Linked DNA regions of Lonchura striata. The protein of the gene in region 2 purifies or fractionates together with the protein of the main gene of each other region. This does not show direct contact. Links are inferred from orthologs where the notes say so. Each region holds a gene or a part of one and is shown on either strand. Other genes may lie near its edges.

Evidence for each region.
Region 1: the proteins of U2AF2 (region 2) and SF3B2 purify together in Homo sapiens (affinity purification with mass spectrometry; 3 studies listed by BioGRID and IntAct, counting the BioPlex papers as one, with this or other methods). This does not show direct contact. The link is inferred for Lonchura striata from reciprocal best matches to the Homo sapiens genes U2AF2 and SF3B2.

Annotation. Positions count from the first base shown.
Region 1 is NC_134638.1:657,271-667,460, forward strand, and holds the start of SF3B2 (splicing factor 3B subunit 2), read right to left. Parts: upstream 6,305-10,190; 5' UTR 6,296-6,304; coding exon 6,151-6,295; intron 5,245-6,150; coding exon 5,198-5,244; intron 4,556-5,197; coding exon 4,459-4,555; intron 3,937-4,458; coding exon 3,761-3,936; intron 2,417-3,760; coding exon 2,357-2,416; intron 2,251-2,356; coding exon 2,133-2,250; intron 2,030-2,132; coding exon 1,947-2,029; intron 808-1,946; coding exon 702-807; intron 1-701. Other genes in the region: putative RNA-binding protein EIF1AD, read left to right, coding at 7,046-7,132, 8,563-8,671, 10,085-10,190. UniProt on the Homo sapiens protein: Component of the 17S U2 SnRNP complex of the spliceosome, a large ribonucleoprotein complex that removes introns from transcribed pre-mRNAs.
Region 2 is NC_134640.1:2,652,189-2,662,378, reverse strand, and holds the start of U2AF2 (splicing factor U2AF 65 kDa subunit), read right to left. Parts: upstream 6,694-10,190; 5' UTR 6,543-6,693; coding exon 6,494-6,542; intron 3,198-6,493; coding exon 3,062-3,197; intron 1-3,061. UniProt on the Homo sapiens protein: Plays a role in pre-mRNA splicing and 3'-end processing. By recruiting PRPF19 and the PRP19C/Prp19 complex/NTC/Nineteen complex to the RNA polymerase II C-terminal domain (CTD), and thereby pre-mRNA, may couple transcription to splicing.

The sequences.
Region 1 (10,190 bases), on a different chromosome or scaffold from region 2:
GGGACACTGGGGGTGGCACTGGGGGTGGCAGGGGACACTGAGGGACATTGGGGGTGGCAGGGGATTGAGGGACACTGGGGGTGGCACTGGGGGTGGCACTGGGGGTGGCAGGGGACACGGGGGTGGCCCTGGGGGTGGCAGGGCTCAGTGTGGTGGCACTGGGGGTGGCAGGGCACACTGAGGGACATTGGGGGTGGCAGGGGACACCGTGGTGGCCCTGGGGGTGGCAGGGGACACCGGGGTGGCCCTGGGGGTGGCCCTGGGGGTGGCAGGGGACACCGTGGTGACACAGGGTGGCAGGGGACACTGCGGGTGGCCCTGGGGGTGGCAGGGGACTGCGGGTGGCACTGGGGGTGGCAGGGGACACCATGGTGACACAGGGTGGCAGGGGACACTGCGGGTGGCCCTGGGGGTGGCAGGGGACAGTGTGGTGGCCTTGGGGGTGGCAGGGGACACCGTGGTGGCCCTGGGGGTGGCAGGGGACACCGTGGTGGCCCTGGGGGTGGCCCTGGAGGTGGCAGGGGACACCGGGGTGGCCCTGGGGGTGGCCCTGGAGGTGGCAGGGGACACCGGGGTGGCCCTGGGGGTGGCCCTGGAGGTGGCAGGGGACACCGGGGTGGCCCTGGGGGTGGCAGGGGACACCGGGGTGGCCCTGGGGGTGGCAGGGGACACTGAGGGACATTGGGGGTGGCAGGGCTCACCCGAGACCCCCGGCACCGTCACCAGCTCCTCCTGCCGGCTCTCCTTGAGCTGCAGGATCTTCTCCAGCGCCTGCGGGATCTTGGGGCCCACCCCGGAGTCCTCGGCCTGGGGGGCACCATGGGGGGGTCAGCGGGACCCCCGGGACCACCCCCAAAATCAGAGAGACCCCCCAAGGACCCCCTGGAATGAGGAAGACCCCCGGGACTCCCTCAAAATCAGGACGACCCTCCTGAAATTAAGGAGACTCCAAAAAAGGGGAGACTCCTGGGTCTGCCCCCAAAGAGACCCCAGACCCACAGAGACCCCTCCCCACAATAAAGGAACCCCAGACTCAGAGACCCCAAACAGAGCCCCCAGCCCCTCCCCAACAGACACCACAAACCCACAGAGACCCCTCCCCACAACAGAGACCCCAGACTCAAGAGACTCCCCGTGCAGACCCCCAGCCCCACAGAGACCCCCCCCAGCCCCACAGACCCCCAAGCCCCCAGCCCCACAGACCCCCCCAATACAGCCCCCCGGAGACCCCCCCACAATACAGCCCCCCCAGCCCCACAGACCCCCCCCAGCCCCACAGACCCCCCAAGCCCCCAGCCCCACAGAGACCCCCCCCAGCCCCACAGACCCCCCCAAGCCCCCAGCCCCACAGAGACCCCCCAGCCCCACAGACCCCCCAAGCCCCCAGCCCCACAGAGACCCCCCAGCCCCACAGACCCCCAATCCCCCAGCCCCACAGAGATCCCCCCAATACAGCCCCCCCAGCCCCACAGACCCCCCCAATACAGCCCCCCCAGCCCCACAGACCCCCAAGCCCCCAGCCCCACAGACCCCCAATCCCCCAGCCCCACAGACACCCCAAGCCCCCAGCCCCACAGAGACCCCCCCCAGCCCCACAGACCCCGCCAAGCCCCCAGCCCCACAGAGACCCCCCCAATACAGCCCCCCCAGCCACACAGACCCCCCCAATCCCCCAGCCCCACAGACCCCCAAGCCCCCAGCCCCACAGACCCCCCCCAAGCCCCCAGCCCCCCAGAGACCCCCCCCAGCCCCACAGACCCCCCCCAGCCCCACTGACCCCCCCCAGCCCCACAGACCCCCAAGCCCCCAATCCCCCAGCCCCACAGACCCCCAAGCCCCCAAGCCCCCAGCCCCACAGACCCCCCAAGCCCCCAATCCCCCAGCCCCACAGACCCCCCAAGCCCCCAATCCCCCAGCCCCACAGACCCCCAAGCCCCCAGCCCCACCTCTCTGCTGTCGTCGCCGGGGGGCGGGGGGGGCCCGCGGGGCCGGGGGGCTCCCATGGCCAGGGGGGCTCCCATGGGGCTGCCTGAGGGAGGGGAGGGGGGGACACAAAGGTGACATCAGCCCAGGAGGGGGTGGGCACAGGGGACAAAGGTGTGTCCCCCCCCCCACCCAGGGGTCCCCCTCACCTCGGGGGGCCAGGGGGGTCCTGGCAGCCATGGGAGCCCCCTCGGGGGGCGCACGGGGGGCGGGGGGGGTCAGCTTGGCCATCTCCTGCTGCCGCTCCTGCTCCAGCAGCACCGCGGCCTGGGGGGCACGGGGGGGGCACGGGGGGTCAGGGGGGCCTGGGCTCGGCCCCCCCACCCCGAGGTGCCCCCCAAAACCCAGGGGTGTCCCCCCCCTCCCACCTCACCCGTTTCTGCTGCTCCAGCAGCTCCTGCTCCTTGGCCTTGTCCCCGAATGGGTGCTGGCCCTGTCGGGGGAGCACAGTCAGGACAACCCCCAGCACCCAAGGGTGCGCCCACAAGGGGTCACCCACTCTTCAACACCCCCAAAAACGCCAAATCCCACCCCAAAACCACCTCTCAGCTCATCCCCTCTATAGGTGCCTCACCCTCTCCAACACCCCCTGAACGCCTTTAAACCCCCCAACTCCCCCCAAACCCCACACCCCCGAGTCCCCTCGTGCTCCCCACCCACCCAAGGGTGCCCCTCACCCCAAAATGCCCTCCCTGGACCTGTCCCTGCCCCTCCTGCAGCAGCAGAGACACAGTCATCCTCCAAACCCCCCCAAAATACCCCCCAAACTCCACACCCTCCATTCCCCCCCTACCCAAGGGTGCCCCCCACCCCCCAAAAGGTGACCCCCACCACAAAACACCCCCACCCCGGACCTGAGCCCGCTCCTCCTGCAGCAGCAGGGCCCCTTTAACCCCCCCAAACCCCCAAAATCCCCCCGAATCCCCCCGAAACCCCACATCCCCATGCCCCCCACCCCCCGAAATGCCCCCCAGACCTGTGCCCGCTCCTCCTGCAGCAGCAGGGCCCCTTTAACCCCCCCAAACCCCCAAAATCCCCCCCAAACCCCACACCCCCGTGCCCCCCACCCCCCAAAATTCCCTCCAGACCTGTGCCCTCTCCTCCTGCAGCAGCAGGGCCCCTTTAACCCCCCCAAAATCCCCCCGAAATCCCACACCCCCGTGCCCCCCACCCCCCAAAATTCCCTCCAGACCTGTGCCTGTTCCTCCTGCAGCAGCAGGGCCCCTTTAACCCCCCCAAACCCCCAAAATCCCCCCAAAACCCCACACCCCCGTGCCCCCCAGACCTGTGCCCGCTCCTCCTGCAGCAGCAGGGCCCCTTTAACCCCCAAAATCCCCCCCAAACCCCACACCCCCATGCCCCCCACCCCCCAAAATTCCCCCCAAACCTGTGCCCGCTCCTCCTGCAGCAGCAGGGCCCCTTTAACCCCCCCAAAATCCCCCCGAAATCCCACACCCCCGTGTCCCCCAGACCTGTGCCCTCTCCTTCTGCAGCAGCAGGGCCCCTTTAACCCCCCCAAACCCACACCCCCGTGCCCCCCACCCCCCAAAATTCCCCCCAGACCTGTGCCCTCTCCTCCTGCAGCAGCAGGGCCCCTTTAACCCCCCCCAGACCCCCTTTAACCCCCCCAAACCCACACCCCCGTGCCCCCCACCCCCCAAAATTCCCCCCAGACCTGTGCCCTCTCCTCCTGCAGCAGCAGGGCCCCTTTAACCCCCAAAATCCCCCCCAAACCCCACACCCCCGTGCCCCCCACCCCCCAAAATTCCCCCCAAACCTGTGCCCTCTCCTCCTGCAGCAGCAGGGCCGCCTGCTGCTGGGCCAGCGTCAGCCGCTCCTCCTCGGAGAGCCCCCCGGGGGGGGCGGGGGCGGCACCGGGACCCCCCCCACGGGCCCCCCCAGACCGAAAGTGAGCCCCAGGCCCGGGGGGGGAGGGGGCGGCACCAGGGGGTGCTGCAGGGGCAGCGCTGGGGGCAGCTGGGGAGGGGGAGGAGGGGTCAGGGTCACCTGGGACACCCCCACCCCAAAATTTCATCCCCCGGGATTCAGTGGTGGGAGGGGTCTGAATCCCCTGATCACCCCCACCCCGAAATTTAAAACCACAAATGCCTCAAATTTGGGGGGTTTGGGTGGGTTTTAACCCTCCCTCCACCCCAAAACTGGGTGTTATTGCTCCCCCTCCTAAATTTGGGGGGTCTGGGTGGGTTTTAACCCTCCCTCCACCCCATAACTGGGTGTCATTGCTCCCCCCCACCTCAAATTTGGGGGGTCTGGAAGATTTTGAGCCCCTCCACCCCAAAATTGAATGTCATTGACCCCCCCCATCCCAAAAATGTGGAGCTCTGATGGATCTTAAACCCCCCCAAAATAACCCGTGGATTGCCCCCCCCCCCCCCCACCCCAAACTGGGGGTCCTGGGGGTGCCCCCAACCCCCCCTCCCTCCAAACCAGACCCTGGGGGGTTCCTGCCCCCACCAAACCCCCCCCAGATCCCCCAAAATCCCACCTGGGGGGGCGGGGCCTTGTCCCCCTCCTCGGGGCGCAGAGCAGGGCGGCTCAGCACGATCCCAGTCTGGGGGGGAGCACAAATTTTGGGGGGGTTCCCATGAGCCCCCACACTCGAGAGGACATGGGGACCCCCCTTCTGGGAGGGCAGGGACAGCAGGAGCTCTCTCACCCCCCCAAAAATGGAATAAATGCCCCCAAAAGCACATTAAACCCCCCAAAATCAGAGTAAACCCACCCAAAATCTCATTAAACCCCCCAAAATCAGAGTAAACCCACCCAAAATCTCATTAAACCCCCCAAAATCAGAGTAAACCCACTCAAAATCTCATTAAACTCCCCCAAATCCTATTAAGCTCCCCAAAGTCCCATTAGGACACCTAAAAAATCACATTATACCACCCCAAAATCAAAATAAACAACCCTAAAATCACATTAAATCCACCAAAAATCCCCTCCCACCCCCTCAAAACCACATTAAACCCCCCAAAAATCACATTACATCCTCCAAAACTGCCATGAGCCCCCTCAAAATTCCATTAAATTCCCCCAAAATCCAATTAAGCCCCCCCAAAATCACAATAAATCCCTCCATAATCCCATGAAATCCCCTCAAAATCACAACAGACCCCCCAAAAACGAGTCCCCCTCCTTTAAGGGACACAAGGAGGGGGGAGAATTTGGGGTCCCACCGTTTTGGGGGTCTCACCTGCAGGGTGTAGGCCTGGAGCCGCTCCAGCAGCTCCTCCCGGGTCCCTGGGGGGGATTGGGGGGGTTCAGGGATCCCCAAATTCTGCCCCACAAACCCCAACCCCCCCCACGTTCCTCTGTCCCCCCAAGGAACCCCAAGAATTTCCCACCCCAGGGACCCCCAAAATTCCCCCAGGGACTCCTGACCTCCCTCAGGACTCTCAAATCCCCCCAGGGAACCCCAAAAATCCCCCAAATCCCCACAGGTGACCCCAAAATCTTCCCCCTTCCCCTCAGATCTCCCCTCAAGTGACCCCAAAACCCCCAAATTTCCCTCCTACCCCACAAATGTCCCCTCAAGTGACCCCAAATTTTCCCCATCCCCTCACACCTCTCCCAAATCCCCTCAGGTGACCCCGACCCAGCCAATTTCCCCTCAGACCTCCCCTCAAGTAACCTCAAAACCCCAAAAATGTCCCTCCTACCCCTCTGATCTTCCCTCAAATGACCCCAAAAATTTTTCCTCCTACCCCTCTGACCTCCCCTCAAGTAACCCCCAAATTTCCTCCTTCCCCTCACACCTCCACCAAATCCCCTCAGGTGAACCCTAAAACCCCCCAATTTCCTCTCTTCCCCTCAAGTGACCCCAAAACCCCCAAATTTCCTCCTTCCCCTCACACCTCCCCCAAATCCCCTCAGGTGAACCCTGAAACCCCCAAATTTCCCTGCTACCCCTCAGATCTCCCCTCAACTAACCCCCAAATTTCCTCCTTCCCTTCACATCTCTCCCAAATCCCCTCAGGTGACTCCGACACCCGCTCAGTTTCCCATTCAGATCTTTTCCCCCAAATCCCCTCACGGCTCCCGTTCCCCTCACGGCTCCTCCCGTTCCCCTCACGGCTCCCATTCCCCTCAGGTCCCGCTCCCCTCACGGCTCCCGCTCCCCTCACGGCTCGCCCCCGCTCCCCGCACCCTGCGCGGGGGCTCCGATGCCGGCGAGCGTGGCCTGGAGCTCGGGGTGGGCCCATCCGGCGTAGGGGGAGCGCTCGGGGGCTCGGGGGTCCCTGAGGGGCTCCCCGGGCCCGGCCGCCGCCGCCTCCGCGCGCTCCGCCGCCATCTTGGCCCCGCCGCCGCCGCCGCGAGCGTCGCAGCCAATCAGAGAGCGCGGCGCCGCGCGTGATGACGTCACGGGGTGAAAAGGGCGGGGCGTGCGCGGGTATTGGGGTAACGGGGAGGGTGACGTCACGGCGGCGAGGGTGACGTCACGGAAACGATGCTGGCATGAGCGGTGCTGGAGTGACGTCACAGGATTCGCTAGCCCTGCTCATTAGCATGGCCCCGCCAAGCCCCTGCCCCACATCCCAGACCCTCATTTGCATAGCTCCGCCCACACCACCTGCATTCGTTCACACCTATTTGCATAGCACCGCCCCCAACCCGCGCTCATTTGCATCACGCCAGGATTTCAGCTGGTTTGCGTGAGCCCCTCGGTGATCCAGCCCATCATTTGCATAACCGCGCTCATTATGCAGATGAAGCCCCGCCCTCTGGCCTGGCCACGCCCCAAACGCGGCCATTAATTTATCACCGCGTGGTTCCGTTTAGGCCCCGCCCCCTTTTGGGCGGGCTCAGTATTAGACCCCGCCTCTAGAGGGGCGTGGCCGCCTCAGCTTCCGCCTTCCTTCTCGGAAGTGACGTCACCGCCGCCGCTCTACCCGGAAGTGCTGCCGCAGGTGAGCGGGCGCCGCTCGGTGGGGGCGGGGCCGGGCGGGTCCCGGGGGGTCCCGGGGGGTCCCGGGGCTCCCCCCCCGCCCCTCCCCCCCCGCCGGGGGTCCCTGAGCCCCCCCCGTGTCCCCCCAGCCCCGCGATGTCGCGCGCCACCAAGCGGAAGCACGTGGTGCGGGAGCTGCTGGAGGAGCGCGTGCAGCCCGCGGAGGGCCAGAGCGTGGTCAGGGTGAGAGCGGGGACAGCGGGGACACCGGGGACAGCGGGGACAGCGGGGACACTGGGGACAGCGGGGACAGCGGGGACACTGCGGGGACAGCGGGGACACTGCGGGGACAGCGGGGACAGCGGGGACAGCGGGGACAGCGGGGACATGGGGACAGCGGGGACACTGCGGGGACAGCGGGGACATGGGGACACCGGGGACATTGGGGACATGGGGACACTGGGGACAGCGGGGACATGGGGACACTGCGGGGACATGGGGGACAGCGGGGACACTGCGGGGACAGCGGGGACAGCGGGGACACTGCGGGGACACTGCGGGGACAGCGGGGACATGGGGACACTGCGGGGACAGCGGGGACATTGGGGACATGGGGACACTGCGGGGACATGGGGACACTGCGGGGACAGCGGGGACACTGCGGGGACATGGGGGACAGCGGGGACACTGCGGGGACACTGGGGACAGCGGGGACACTGCGGGGACATGGGGGACAGCGGGGACACTGCGGGGACAGCGGGGACATGGGGACAGCGGGGACATGGGGACAGCGGGGACATGGGGACAGCGGGGACAGCGGGGACACTGCGGGGACACTGCGGGGACAGCGGGGACATGGGGACAGCGGGGACACTGCGGGGACACTGCGGGGACACTGGGGACATGGGGGACACTGCGGGGACACTGCGGGGACATGGGGGACATGGGGGACACTGCGGGGACACCGGGGACATGGGGACACTGCGGGGACAGCGGGGACATTGGGGACACTGCGGGGACATCGGGGACAGCGGGGACACTGCGGGGACATCGGGGACATTGGGGACACTGCGGGGACATCGGGGACAGCGGGGACACTGCGGGGACAGCGGGGACATTGGGGACACTGCGGGGACATGGGGACACTGCGGGGACATGGGGACACTGCGGGGACAGCGGGGACAGCGGGGACACTGCGGGGACACCGGGGACATGGGGGACACCGGGGACACTGGGGACATGGGGGACACTGCGGGGACACCGGGGAGACCGGGGACATGGGGACACTGCGGGGACAGCGGGGACACTGGGGACATGGGGGACACTGCGGGGACGTTGGAGACTGGGGACATGGGGGACACTGGGGACATTAAGGGATTGGGAACATCAGGGGGATTGGGGGGACATTTGGGACCCTGGGGACACTTCGGGGACGTTGGAGACCCTGGGGACATGGGGGACACTGGGGACACCGCAGGGACATCGGGGGGGACTGGGGACACTTAGGACACCGGTGGGACACCAGGGACATTGGGGGGATATTTGGGACACTGGGGACACCGGTGGGACACCAGGGACATTGGGGGGATTGGGGACATCGGGGGGATTTGGGGGGACATTTGGGACATTGAGGGACACTGGGGACATGGAGGGGACACTGAGTGTCCCCGCAGGTGTTGGGGACACCGGGGAACAACCTGCACGAGGTGGAGACGGCGGAGGGGACACGGTTCCTGGCCAGCATGCCACCGCGCTTCCGGCGGCACATCTGGATCAAGAGAGGTGACACCGCCACCCTGTCACTGTCACTGTGTCACCCTGTCACTGCCACCCTGTCACTGTGCTATTGTCACCCTGTCACTGCCACCGCGCTTCCGGCGGCACATCTGGATCAAGAGAGGTGACACCGCCACCCTGTCACTGTGTCACCCTGCCATTGTCACCCTGTCACTGTGACTGTGTCACCGTTTCTCCCATCCTGTCATTGTCACTGTGCCATTGTCACCCTGTTAGCGTCACTGTGTCACCCTATCACTGTCACCCTGCCACTGTCACCCGTCACTGTCACCCTGTCATTGTCACTCTGTCAGTGTCACTCTGTCAGCGTCACTGTGTTGTCGTCACCCTGTCAGCGTCACTGTGTCACCCTGCCATTGTCACCCTGTCGCTGTCTCGTGTCACTGTCACTTTGTCACTGTCACCAGGGCACTGGCACTGCCTCCCTGTCACTGTCACTGTGTCACCCTGTCATTGTCACTGTGCTATTGTCACCCTGTCAGTGTCACTGTGTCACCCTGCCATTGTCACTGTGCTATTGTCACCCTGTCAGTGTCACTGTGTCACCCTATCACTGTCACCCTGTCAGCATCACTGTGTAACCCTGCCATTGTCACCCTGCCATTGTCACCTTGCCACTGTCACCCTGTCATTGTCACCCTGTCAGCGTCACTGTGTCACCCTATCACTGTCACCGTCACCATCACTGTGTAACCCTGCCATTGTCACCCTGCCATTTTCACCCTGTCACTGTCACCCTGTCATTGTCACCCTGTCAGCATCACTGTGTCACCCTATCACTGTCACCCTGTCATTGTCACTGTGCCATTGTCACCCTGCCATCGTCACCCTGTCGCTGTCTCGTGTCACTGTCACTTTGTCACTGTCACCGGGGCACTGGCACTGCCTCCCTGTCACTGTGTCACCCTGTCATAGTCACTGTGCTATTGTCACCCTGTCAGTGTCACTGTGTCACCCTATCACTGTCACCCTGTCATTGTCACTGTGCCATTGTCACCCTGCCATTGTCACCCTGTCATTGTCACCCTGCCATTGTCACCCTGCCGCTGTCTCGTGTCACTGTCACTTTGTCACTGTCACCGGGGCACTGGCACTGCCTCCCTGTCACTGTCCCCAGGCTGTTCTGTGTCACCGCGCCATCGTCACCCTCTGGCTGTCACCGCGCCACCGTCACCAGGGCGCTGCCGCCGGCTCTTTGTCACTTTGTCACCGTCACCCGCCCTCCCCCACTGTCCCCTGCTGCCCCTCCCCACCCCGGGCGCTGTCCCTGCGTCTGTCCCCAGGCCACTCCTGTGACCCCGTGACCCCTGGGTGACCCCCGGGTGACCCCTGGGTGACCCCCGGGTGACCCCCGGGTGACCCCTGGGTGACCCCCGGGTGACCCCCGTGTCCCCCCAGGCGATTTCCTGCTCGTGGATCCCATCCTGGAGGGCTCCAAGGTCAAAGCCGAGATTTCCCTGGTGCTGCTCCCGGCCCACGTGCGCTCGCTGCAGCGCCAGGGGCT
Region 2 (10,190 bases):
CAGTATCCCCAGTGACCGATCCCAGTATTCCCAGTATCCCCAGTGCCTATTCCCAGTATTCCCAGTGCTCCCAATGCTCCCAGTATCTCCAGGGCTGTTCCCAGTGCCAATTCCCAGTAGTCCCAGTAATCCCAGTGCCAATTCCCAGTGCTCCCAGTATCCCCAGTCCCAATTCCCAGTATCCCCAGTATCCCCAGTGACTGATCCCAGTGCTCCCAGTATCCCCAGTGCCAATTCCCAGTATCCCCAGTGACTGATCCCAGTGCTCCCAGTATCCCCAGTCCCAATTCCCAGTATCCCCAGTGACCGATCCCAGTGCTCCCAGTATCCCCAGTGCCCATTCCCAGTATCCCCAGTATCCCAGTGCCCATTCCCAGTGCTCCCAGTGCCCATTCCCAGTATCCCCAGTATCCCCAGTGCCCATTCCCAGCATTCCCAGTATCCCCAGTATCCCAGTGCCCATTCCCAGTATCCCCAGTATCCCCAGTGCCCATTCCCAGTATCCCCAGTATCCCAGTGCCCATTCCCAGTATTCCCAGTGCTCCCAGTTACCGGCGGCGGCGGCGGTCGCGGGACACGCTGCGCTGGTCGCGGTTGCGGCGCTCCCAGTGCTCCCAGTATCCCCAGTGCCCATTCCCAGTATTCCCAGTATTCCCAGTGCTCCCAGTTACCGGCGGCGGCGGCGGTCGCGGGACACGCTGCGCTGGTCGCGGTTGCGGCGCTCCCAGTGCTCCCAGTATCCCAGTGCCCATTCCCAGTATCCCCAGTGCTCCCAGTGCCCATTCCCAGTATCCCCAGTGCCCATCCCCAGTATCCCCAGTATCCCAGTGCCCATCCCCAGTATCCCCAGTATCCCCAGTGCCCATTCCCAGTGTCCCCAGTATTCCCAGTGCTCCCAGTTACCGGCGGCGGCGGCGGTCGCGGGACACGCTGCGCTGGTCGCGGTTGCGGCGCTCCCGGTGCTCCCAGTATCCCAGTGCCCATTCCCAGTGCTCCCAGTGCCCATTCCCAGTATCCCCAGTATCCCCAGTGCCCATTCCCAGTATTCCCAGTGCCCCCAGTGCCCATTCCCAGTATTCCCAGTATTCCCAGTGCTCCCAGTTACCGGCGGCGGCGGCAGTCGCGGGACACGCTGCGCTGGTCGCGGTTGCGGCGCTCCCAGTGCTCCCAGTATCCCAGTGCCCATTCCCAGTGCTCCCAGTGCCCATTCCCAGTATCCCCAGTATCCCCAGTGCCCATTCCCAGTATTCCCAGTATTCCCGTGCCCCCAGTGCCCATTCCCAGTATTCCCAGTGCTCCCAGTTACCGGCGGCGGCGGCGGTCGCGGGACACGCTGCGCTGGTCGCGGTTGCGGCGCTCCCGGGAGCGGCTGCTCCCAGTGCTCCCAGTATCCCAGTGCCCATTCCCAGTATCCCCAGTGCCCCCAGTGCCCATTCCCAGTATTCCCAGTATTCCCAGTGCTCCCAGTTACCGGCAGCGGCGGCGGTCGCGGGACACGCTGCGCTGGTCGCGGTTGCGGCGCTCCCAGTGCTCCCAGTATCCCAGTGCCCATTCCCAGTGCTCCCAGTGCCCATTCCCAGTATCCCCAGTATTCCCAGTGCCCATTCCCAGTATTCCCAGTATTCCCAGTATTCCCAGTTTCCCCAGTTACCGGCGGCGGCGGCGGTCGCGGGACACGCTGCGCTGGTCGCGGTTGCGGCGCTCCCAGTGCTCCCAGTATCCCAGTGCCCATTCCCAGTGCTCCCAGTGCCCATTCCCAGTATCCCCAGTATCCCAGTGCCCATTCCCAGTATTCCCAGTGCTCCCAGTTACCGGCGGCGGCGGCGGTCGCGGGACACGCTGCGCTGGTCGCGGTTGCGGCGCTCCCAGTGCTCCCAGTATCCCCAGTATCCCCAGTGCCCATTCCCAGTATTCCCAGTATCCCCAGTGCCCATTCCCAGTATTCCCAGTTTCCCCAGTTACCGGCGGCGGCGGCGGTCGCGGGACACGCTGCGCTGGTCGCGGTTGCGGCGCTCCCAGTGCTCCCAGTATCCCAGTGCCCATTCCCAGTATCCCCAGTATCCCAGTGCCCATTCCCAGTATCCCCAGTATCCCCAGTGCCCATTCCCAGTATTCCCAGTATTCCCAGTATTCCCAGTTTCCCCAGTTACCGGCGGCGGCGGCGGTCGCGGGACACGCTGCGCTGGTCGCGGTTGCGGCGCTCCCGGGAGCGGCTGCTCCCAGTGCTCCCAGTATCCCAGTGCCCATTCCCAGTGCTCCCAGTGCCCATTCCCAGTATCCCCAGTGCCCCCAGTGCCCATTCCCAGTATCCCCAGTATCCCCAGTGCTCCCAGTTACCGGCGGCGGCGGCGGTCGCGGGACACGCTGCGCTGGTCGCGGTTGCGGCGCTCCCAGTGCTCCCAGTATCCCAGTGCCCATTCCCAGTATTCCCAGTGCTCCCAGTATCCCAGTGCCCATTCCCAGTGCTCCCAGTGCCCATTCCCAGTGCTCCCAGTATCCCCAGTGCCCATTCCCAGTATTCCCAGTGCTCCCAGTTACCGGCGGCGGCGGCGGTCGCGGGACACGCTGCGCTGGTCGCGGTTGCGGCGATCCCGGGAGCGGCTGCTCCCAGTGCTCCCAGTATCCCAGTGCCCATTCCCAGTGCTCCCAGTGCCCATTCCCAGTATCCCCAGTGCCCCCAGTGCCCATTCCCAGTGCTCCCAGTATTCCCAGTGCTCCCAGTTACCGGCGGCGGCGGCGGTCGCGGGACACGCTGCGCTGGTCGCGGTTGCGGCGCTCTCGGGAGCGGCTGCTCCCAGTGCTCCCAGTATCCCAATGCCCATTCCCAGTGCTCCCAGTGCCCATTCCCAGTATCCCCAGTATCCCCAGTGCCCATTCCCAGTATTCCCAGTATTCCCAGTGCTCCCAGTTACCGGCGGCGGCGGCGGTCGCGGGACACGCTGCGCTGGTCGCGGTTGCGGCGCTCCCAGTGCTCCCAGTATCCCAGTGCCCATTCCCAGTGCTCCCAGTGCTCCCAGTGCCCATTCCCAGTATTCCCAGTATTCCCAGTTTCCCCAGTTACCGGCGGCGGCGGCGGTCGCGGGACACGCTGCGCTGGTCGCGGTTGCGGCGCTCCCGGGAGCGGCTGCGCCGTTTGCGGTCGCGGCTGCGCGAGCGGCTGTGGGAGCGCTTGCGGTGCCGGTTCTCCTTGTCCCGCTCTGCGAGGGGAGGAAACACCCAAAATCGGCCAAAATTAACCCAAAATAGCTCAAAATTAACCCAAAATGGGCCAAAATTAACCCAAAATGGGCCAAAATTAACCCAAAATATCCCAAAATAAACCCAAAATAAACCAAAATAACCCAACATATCATAAACTAAACTCAAACTAATCCAAACCCCCGGTTCTCCTTGTCCCGCTCTGCGAGGGGAGGAAACACCCAAAATCGGCCAAAATTAACCCAAAATGGCCCCAAATTAACCCAAAATATCCCAAAATTAACCCAAAATGGCCCAAAATTAACCCAAAATAAACCTAAAATAAACCAAAATATCCCAAACTAACCCAAAGCCCCGGTTCTCCTTGTCCCGCTCTGCGAGGGGAGGAAACACCCAAAATCGGCCAAAATTAACCCAAAATAGCTCAAAATTAACCCAAAATGGGCCAAAATTAACCCAAAATTAACCCGAAATATCCCAAAATATCCCAAAATAAACCTAAAATAAACCAAAATATCCCAAACTAACCCAAACCCCCGGTTCTCCTTGTCCCGCTCTGCAAGGGGAGAAAACACCCAAAATGCACCAAAATTAACCCAAAATGGCCCAAAATTAACCCAAAATGGCCCAAAATTAACCCAAAATAGCTCAAAATTAACCCAAAATGGCCCAAAATTAACCCAAAATAGCTCAAAATAAGCCCAAAATAAACCTAAAATAAACCAAAATATCACAAACAAGCCAAACCCCCGGTTCTCCTTGTCCCACTCTGCAAGGGGAGGAAAAGTCCCAAAATCAACCCAAATATCCCAAAATATCCCAAAATTTACCCAAAATATCCCAAAATAACCCAAAATATCCCAAAATAACCCAACATATCATAAAATAAACCCAAACTAACCCAAACCCCCGGTTCTCCTTGTCCCGCTCTGCGAGGGGAGAAAACACCCAAAATGGCCCAAAATTAACCCAATATGGGCCAAAATTAACCCAAAATGGGCCAAAATTAACCCAAAATGGCCCAAAAATCACAAAATAAACCCAAAATATACCCCAAATCAACCCAAAATATCCCAAACTAACCCAAACCCCCGGTTCTCCTTGTCCCACTCTGCGAGGGGAGAAAACACCCAAAATGGCCCAAAATTAACCCAAAATGGCCCCAAATTAACCCAAAATAGCCCCAAAGATACCCAAAATATCCCAAAATAAACCCAAAATAAACCTAAAATAAACCAAAATATCCCAAACTAACCCAAACCCCCGGTTCTCCTTGTCCCGCTCTGCGAGGGGAGAAAACACCCAAAATGGGCCAAAATTAACCCAAAATGGCCCCAAATTAACCCAAAATGGCCCCAAATTAACCCAAAATGGCCCCAAATTAACCCAAAATGGGCCAAAATTAACCCAAAATAAACCTAAAATAAACCTAAAATAAACCAAAATAACCCAACATATCATAAAATAAACTCAAACTAATCCAAACCCCCGGTTCTCCTTGTCCCGCTCTGCGAGGGGAGAAAATACCCCAAAATCAACCCCAAAAAAGTGGAAAAAAACCAAAATTATCCCAAAATTGGTTGGGGGGGGGAAAAACCCAAAATTATCCCAAAACTGTGAGGGGAAAAATCCAAAATTATCCCAAAATTGGGAGGTAAAACCCCAAAATTATCCCAAAATTGGGGGGGAAAAGACCCAGAATTATCCCAAAATTTGGGTGGAAAAAACCCCAAAATTATCCCAAAATTGGGGGGGGAGGAAACCCCAAAATTATCCCAAAATTGTGAGGGGAAAAATCCAAAATTATCCCAAAATTGGGGGGGGAAAAGACCCAAAATTATCCCAAAATTTGGGTGGAAAAAACCCCAAATTCTCCCAAAATTGGGGGGGGAAAAAACCCAAAATTATCCCAAAATTGTGAGGGGAAAAATCCAAAATTATCCCAAAATTGGGAGGTAAAACCCCAAAATTATCCCAAAATTGTGGGGGAAAAACCCAAAATTATCCCAAAATTTGGGGGGGATCCAAAATTGGAGGAGGGGACCCCAAAATTTGGGGGAGGGGGTCACGAAGGATGAACCCAAAATTTGGGGGGATCCAAAATTCGAGGGGGGGGGTTCCCCAAAATTGGGGTGGGGTCAAAAATTGGGGAGGGGGGGACCCCAAATTCCCGTGGGGGGGACCCCAAATTAAGAGGGGAGTCCCCAAATTTGGGGAGGGGGGACCTCAAATTAGGAGGGGGGATCCCCAAATTTGGGGTGGGGGTCAAAAATTGGGGTGGGGGTCAAAATTGGAATGGGGGGGATCCCAAATTCGTGAGGAGGGACCCCAAATTAAGAAGGGGATCCCCAAATTTGGGGAGGGGGAACCCCAAATTAAGAGGGGGATCCCCAAATTTGGGGTGGGGGGACCCCAAATTTTGGGGTGGAGGTCAAAATTGGAATGGGGGGGGATCCCAAATTCTTGAGGAGGGACCTTAAATTAAGAGGGGGATCCCGAAATTTGGGGTGGGGGGACCCCAAATTTTGGGGTGGGGTCAAAATTGGAATGGGGGAGACCCCAAATTCGTGTGGGGGGACCCCAAATTAAGAGGGGGGTCCCCAAATTTGGGGTGGGGGGACCCCAAAAATTGGAGGTGGGGGACAAAATTGGGGTGGGGGAACCCCAAATTAAGAGCGGGGTCCCCAAATTTTGGGGTGGGGTCAAAATTGGGGTGGGGAAACCCCAAATTAAGAGGGGGGGATCCCCAAATTAGGGAGGGCGAACCCCAAAATTGGGGGTGGGGGTCAAAATTGGAGAGGGGGGACCCCAAATTAAGAGGGGGGATCCCCAAATTTGGGGTGGGGGAACCCCAAATTAAGAGGGGGGGGTCTCCAAATTAGGGAGGGCGAACCCCAAAATTGGGGGGGGGGGTCAAAATTGGAGAGGGGGGATCCCAAATTCGTGTGGGGGGACCCCAAATTAAGAGGGGGATCCCAAATTCGTGTGGGGGGGACCCCAAATTTAGAAGGGGATCCCCAAATTTGGGGAGGGCGAACCCCAAAATTGGGGGGGGGGTCAAAACCAATGGCGGACGAGCCCAATTTGGGGAAGGGGAGGGGGGGGCACCGAAAGTCGAACCCAAATTTTCGGGGGGAGAACCCAAACCGGGACTGGAGGAACCCCAAAACCGGGGGGGGGGGAACCCCAAATTTGGGCTGGGGTGGTGGGGGGGGGTCTCCCCCAATTTTTGGGGGGGTCTCCCCCGTTCCCCCCCCCCGTGAGGCGCGGCCCGTGGGGGGGGCGGGGCCGGTACCTTGTTTGTTCTCGTTCAGCTGCCGCTCGAACTCGTCGAAGTCGGACATGGCGGCGGCTCCCCGGGAGCCTCCCGGAGCTTTCCCGGCGCCTCCCCGGAGCTTTCCCGGAGCTCTCCCGGCGCCTCCCCGCTCCTCACGGCCGCCCTCAGGCCGCGCCGCCTCCGCCCGCGCTCCGCCGCTTCCGGCCGCGCTCGGCCGCTTCCGGCCGCGCCTTCGGCTCCTTCCGCCGCCGCTTCGGCAATTCCCGGCGGCGCTCGGGAACTCCCGCCAGCGCTCGGCGCTTCCGGTCCCGCTCGGAACTTCCGGCGCCGCTCGGGAATTTCCGGCGCCGCTCGGGAACTTCCGGCCCCGCTCGGCTTTTCCCGCCGCTTCCCGGCCCCGCTCGGGCCCGAAGCCCGCTCCCCTTTTTCCCCTTTTTCCCTTTTTTCCCTTTTTCCCCTTTTTCCCCTTTTTCCCCTTTTTTCCCCTTTTTCCCCTTTTGTCCTTTTTCCCCTTTTCCCCCTTTTTTCCCCTTTTTCCCCTTTTTCCCTTTTTCCCTTTTTCCCTTTTTCCCCTTTTCCCCTTTTTCCCCTTTTTCCCCTTTTTCCCCTTTTTCCCCTTTTTCCCCTTTTTCCCCTTTTTCCCCTTTTTTCCCTTTTTCCCTTTTTCCCCTTTTTTCCCTTTTTTCCCCTTTTTTCCCCTTTTTCCCCTTTTTTCCCCTTTTTTCCCTTTTTTCCCCTTTTCCCCCTTTTTTCCCTTTTTCCCCTTTTTCCCCTTTTTTCCCTTTTTCCTCTTTTTCCCCTTTTTCCCCTTTTCCCCTCTTTTTTCGGTCTTTTTTCCTTTTTTTCCCCTTTTTTCTGTCTTTTCTTCCCCTTTTTTCCCCATTTTCCCCTCTTTTCCCCTCTTCTCTCGGTCTTTTTCCCCTTTTTCCCCTTTTTTCTGTCTTTTTTTCCCCCCTTTTCCCCCTTTTTTCAGTCTTTTTTTCCTTATATTCCCCCTTTCCCCCCATTTTTCCCCTTTTTTCTGTCTTTTCTTCCCCTTTTCCCCCTTTTTTCAGTCTTTTTTTCCTTATATTCCCCCTTTTCCCCACATTTTTCCCCTTTTTTCAGTCTTTTTTTCATTTTATTCCCCCTTTTCCCCCATTTTTCCCCTTTTTTCAGTCTTTTCTTCCCCCATTTTTCCCCTTTTTTCAGTCTTTTTTTCCTTCCCTCCCCCTTTTTTCCCTTTTTTAGGCTTTTTTTTTTTCCCTTTTTCCCCTTTTGTGCCTTTTTTCCCCTTTTTCCCCCTTTTATTCCTTTTTTCCCTTTCCCCCTCTTTTTTCGGTCTTTTTTTTCCCTTTTTTCCCCTTTTTTCTGTCTTTTCTTCCCCTTTTTTCCCCATTTTCCCCTCTTTTCCCCTCTTCTCTCGGTCTTTTTCCCCATTTTTCCCCTTTTTTTCAGTCTTTTCTTCCCCATTTTCCCCCTTTTTTCAGTCTTTTTTTCCTTTTATTCCCCTTTTTCCCCCATTTTTCCCCTTTTTTCTGTCTTTTTTTCCTTCCCTCCACCTTTTTTCCTCTATTTAGTCTTTTTTTCCCCTTTTTCCGCTTTTGTGCCTTTTTTCCCCTTTTTCCCCCTTTTATCCCTTTTTTCAGTCTTTTCTTCCTTTTATTCCCCTTTTCCCCCCATTTTTCCCCTTTTTTCTGTCTTTTTTTCCTTTTTCTCCCCTTTTTTCCCCCTTTTCTTCCCCTGTTTTCCCTTTTTTCCCCATTTTTCGATCTTTTTTTCCCTCTTTTTCCCCTTTTTATAGTATTTTCTTCCTGCTTTTTCCCTTTTTCCCTTTTTTCGGTCTTTTTTGTCCCAGGTGTGCCAGGCCCAGCTGGGGCAGCTCTCAGAAAAAAAAAAACCAAAAATATTTTAATTTTTCATTTTTAAATTTCAATTTTTATTGACGGGAATTTCCCCACTCCGAACTTCCGGCGGCGTCACCTGGAGGCAAGACAACAAAGGGTTAATTCCAGCCCGAAATTCCCAAAATTTCCCCCAAAAATTCCCAAAATTCCCTCCAGAAAATTCCTGAAATTCCCACAAAAAATTCCCTCAGAAAATTCCTGAAATTCCCAAAAAAAATTCCCCAAAATTCTCCCCAAAAAAATTCCAAAATTCCCTCCAAAAAATTCCCAGAAGTACCGCAATAAAATTCCCAAAATTCCCCCCCAAAAATTTGGAAATTCCCCCAAAATATTCCCGAAACTCCCTTCAAAAATTCTCAAAATCCCAAAAAAAAATTCCCAAAATGCCCCCAAAAATTTCTGAAATTCCCCCAAAAATTCCCAGAATTCCCCCCCAAGAAATTCCCCTCCAAAAAAATCCCAAAATTCCCCCCCAAAAAATTCCCCAAAATTCTTCCCAAAAATTCTTGAAGTTTTCCCCCAAAATTCCCGAAATTCTCCCCAAAAAGTTCCCGACTTTCGCCCCAAATTGGGGGATTTGGGATTTGGGGCCCCCTCAGACCCCCCCGCGTGGGGGAGGGGCACAGGGATCCATCAGGGGTCAGAGCCCAGTGCTGCCATCACGGGGGGCCCCGAAATTCCCAAAATTCCAGCCCCGGATCCCGAAATTCCAACCTCGGATCCCGAAATTCCCAAAATTCCAGCCCCGGATCCCGAAATTCCCAAAATTCCAACCTCGGATCCCGAAATTCCAACCTCGGATCCCGAAATCCCCAAAATTCCAGCCCCGGATCCCGAAATTCCCAAAATTCCAGCCCCGGATCCCGAAATTCCCAAAATTCCAGCCCCGGATCCCAAAATTCCCAAAACTCCAGCCCTGGATCCCAAAATTCCCAAAATTCCAGCCCCGGATCCCGAAATTCCCAAAATTCCAGCCCCAGATCCCAAAATTCCAGCCCCGGATCCCGAAATTCCAACCTCGGATCCCGAAATTCCCAAAATTCCAGCCCCAGATCCCGAAATTCCAACCTCGGATCCCAAAATTCCAACCTCGGATCCCGAAATTCCCAAAATTCCCGCCCCGGATCCGGAAATTCCCAAAATTCCAGCCCCGGATCCCGAAATTCCAACCTCGGATCCGGAAATTCCCAAAATTCCAGCCCCAGATCCCATAATTCCAACGTCAGATCCCAAAATTCCAACCTCGGATCCCAAAATTCCAAAATTCCAACCCCGGATCCTGAAATTCCAACCCCGGATCCTGAAATTCCAACGTCGGATCCCAAAATTCCCAAAATTCCAGCCCCGGATCCCAAAATTCCCAAAATTCCAGCCCCAGATCCCAAAAACCCCCAAAAATAAATTTTAACCCTTTCAACCCCCCAAAAATCCCAATTTAACTCCCAAAAATCCAATTTTAACCCTTTTAACACCCCAAAATCCCAATTTTAACCCCAAAATCCCAATTTTAACCCCAAAATCCCCAATTTTAACCCTTTCAACCCCCCAAAAATCCCCAATTTTAACCCTTTCAACTCCCCACAAATCCCAATTTTAACCCCAAAAATCCAATTTTAACCCCAGAAACTCCCATTTTAACCCTTTCAACCCCCCCAAAATCCAACTTTAACCCTCGCAGCGCCCCCGAAGCACCCCCCGGACTGACGGAATTCCGGGAATTCCCGTTTTTCGGGAAGGCTCAGTCCTCCTCCTCGTCCTCGGCTCCACCGGCCCAGAATCCCATTTAAACCCAAAACCTTCCAATTTTAACCCCAAAATCCCCTTTAAAA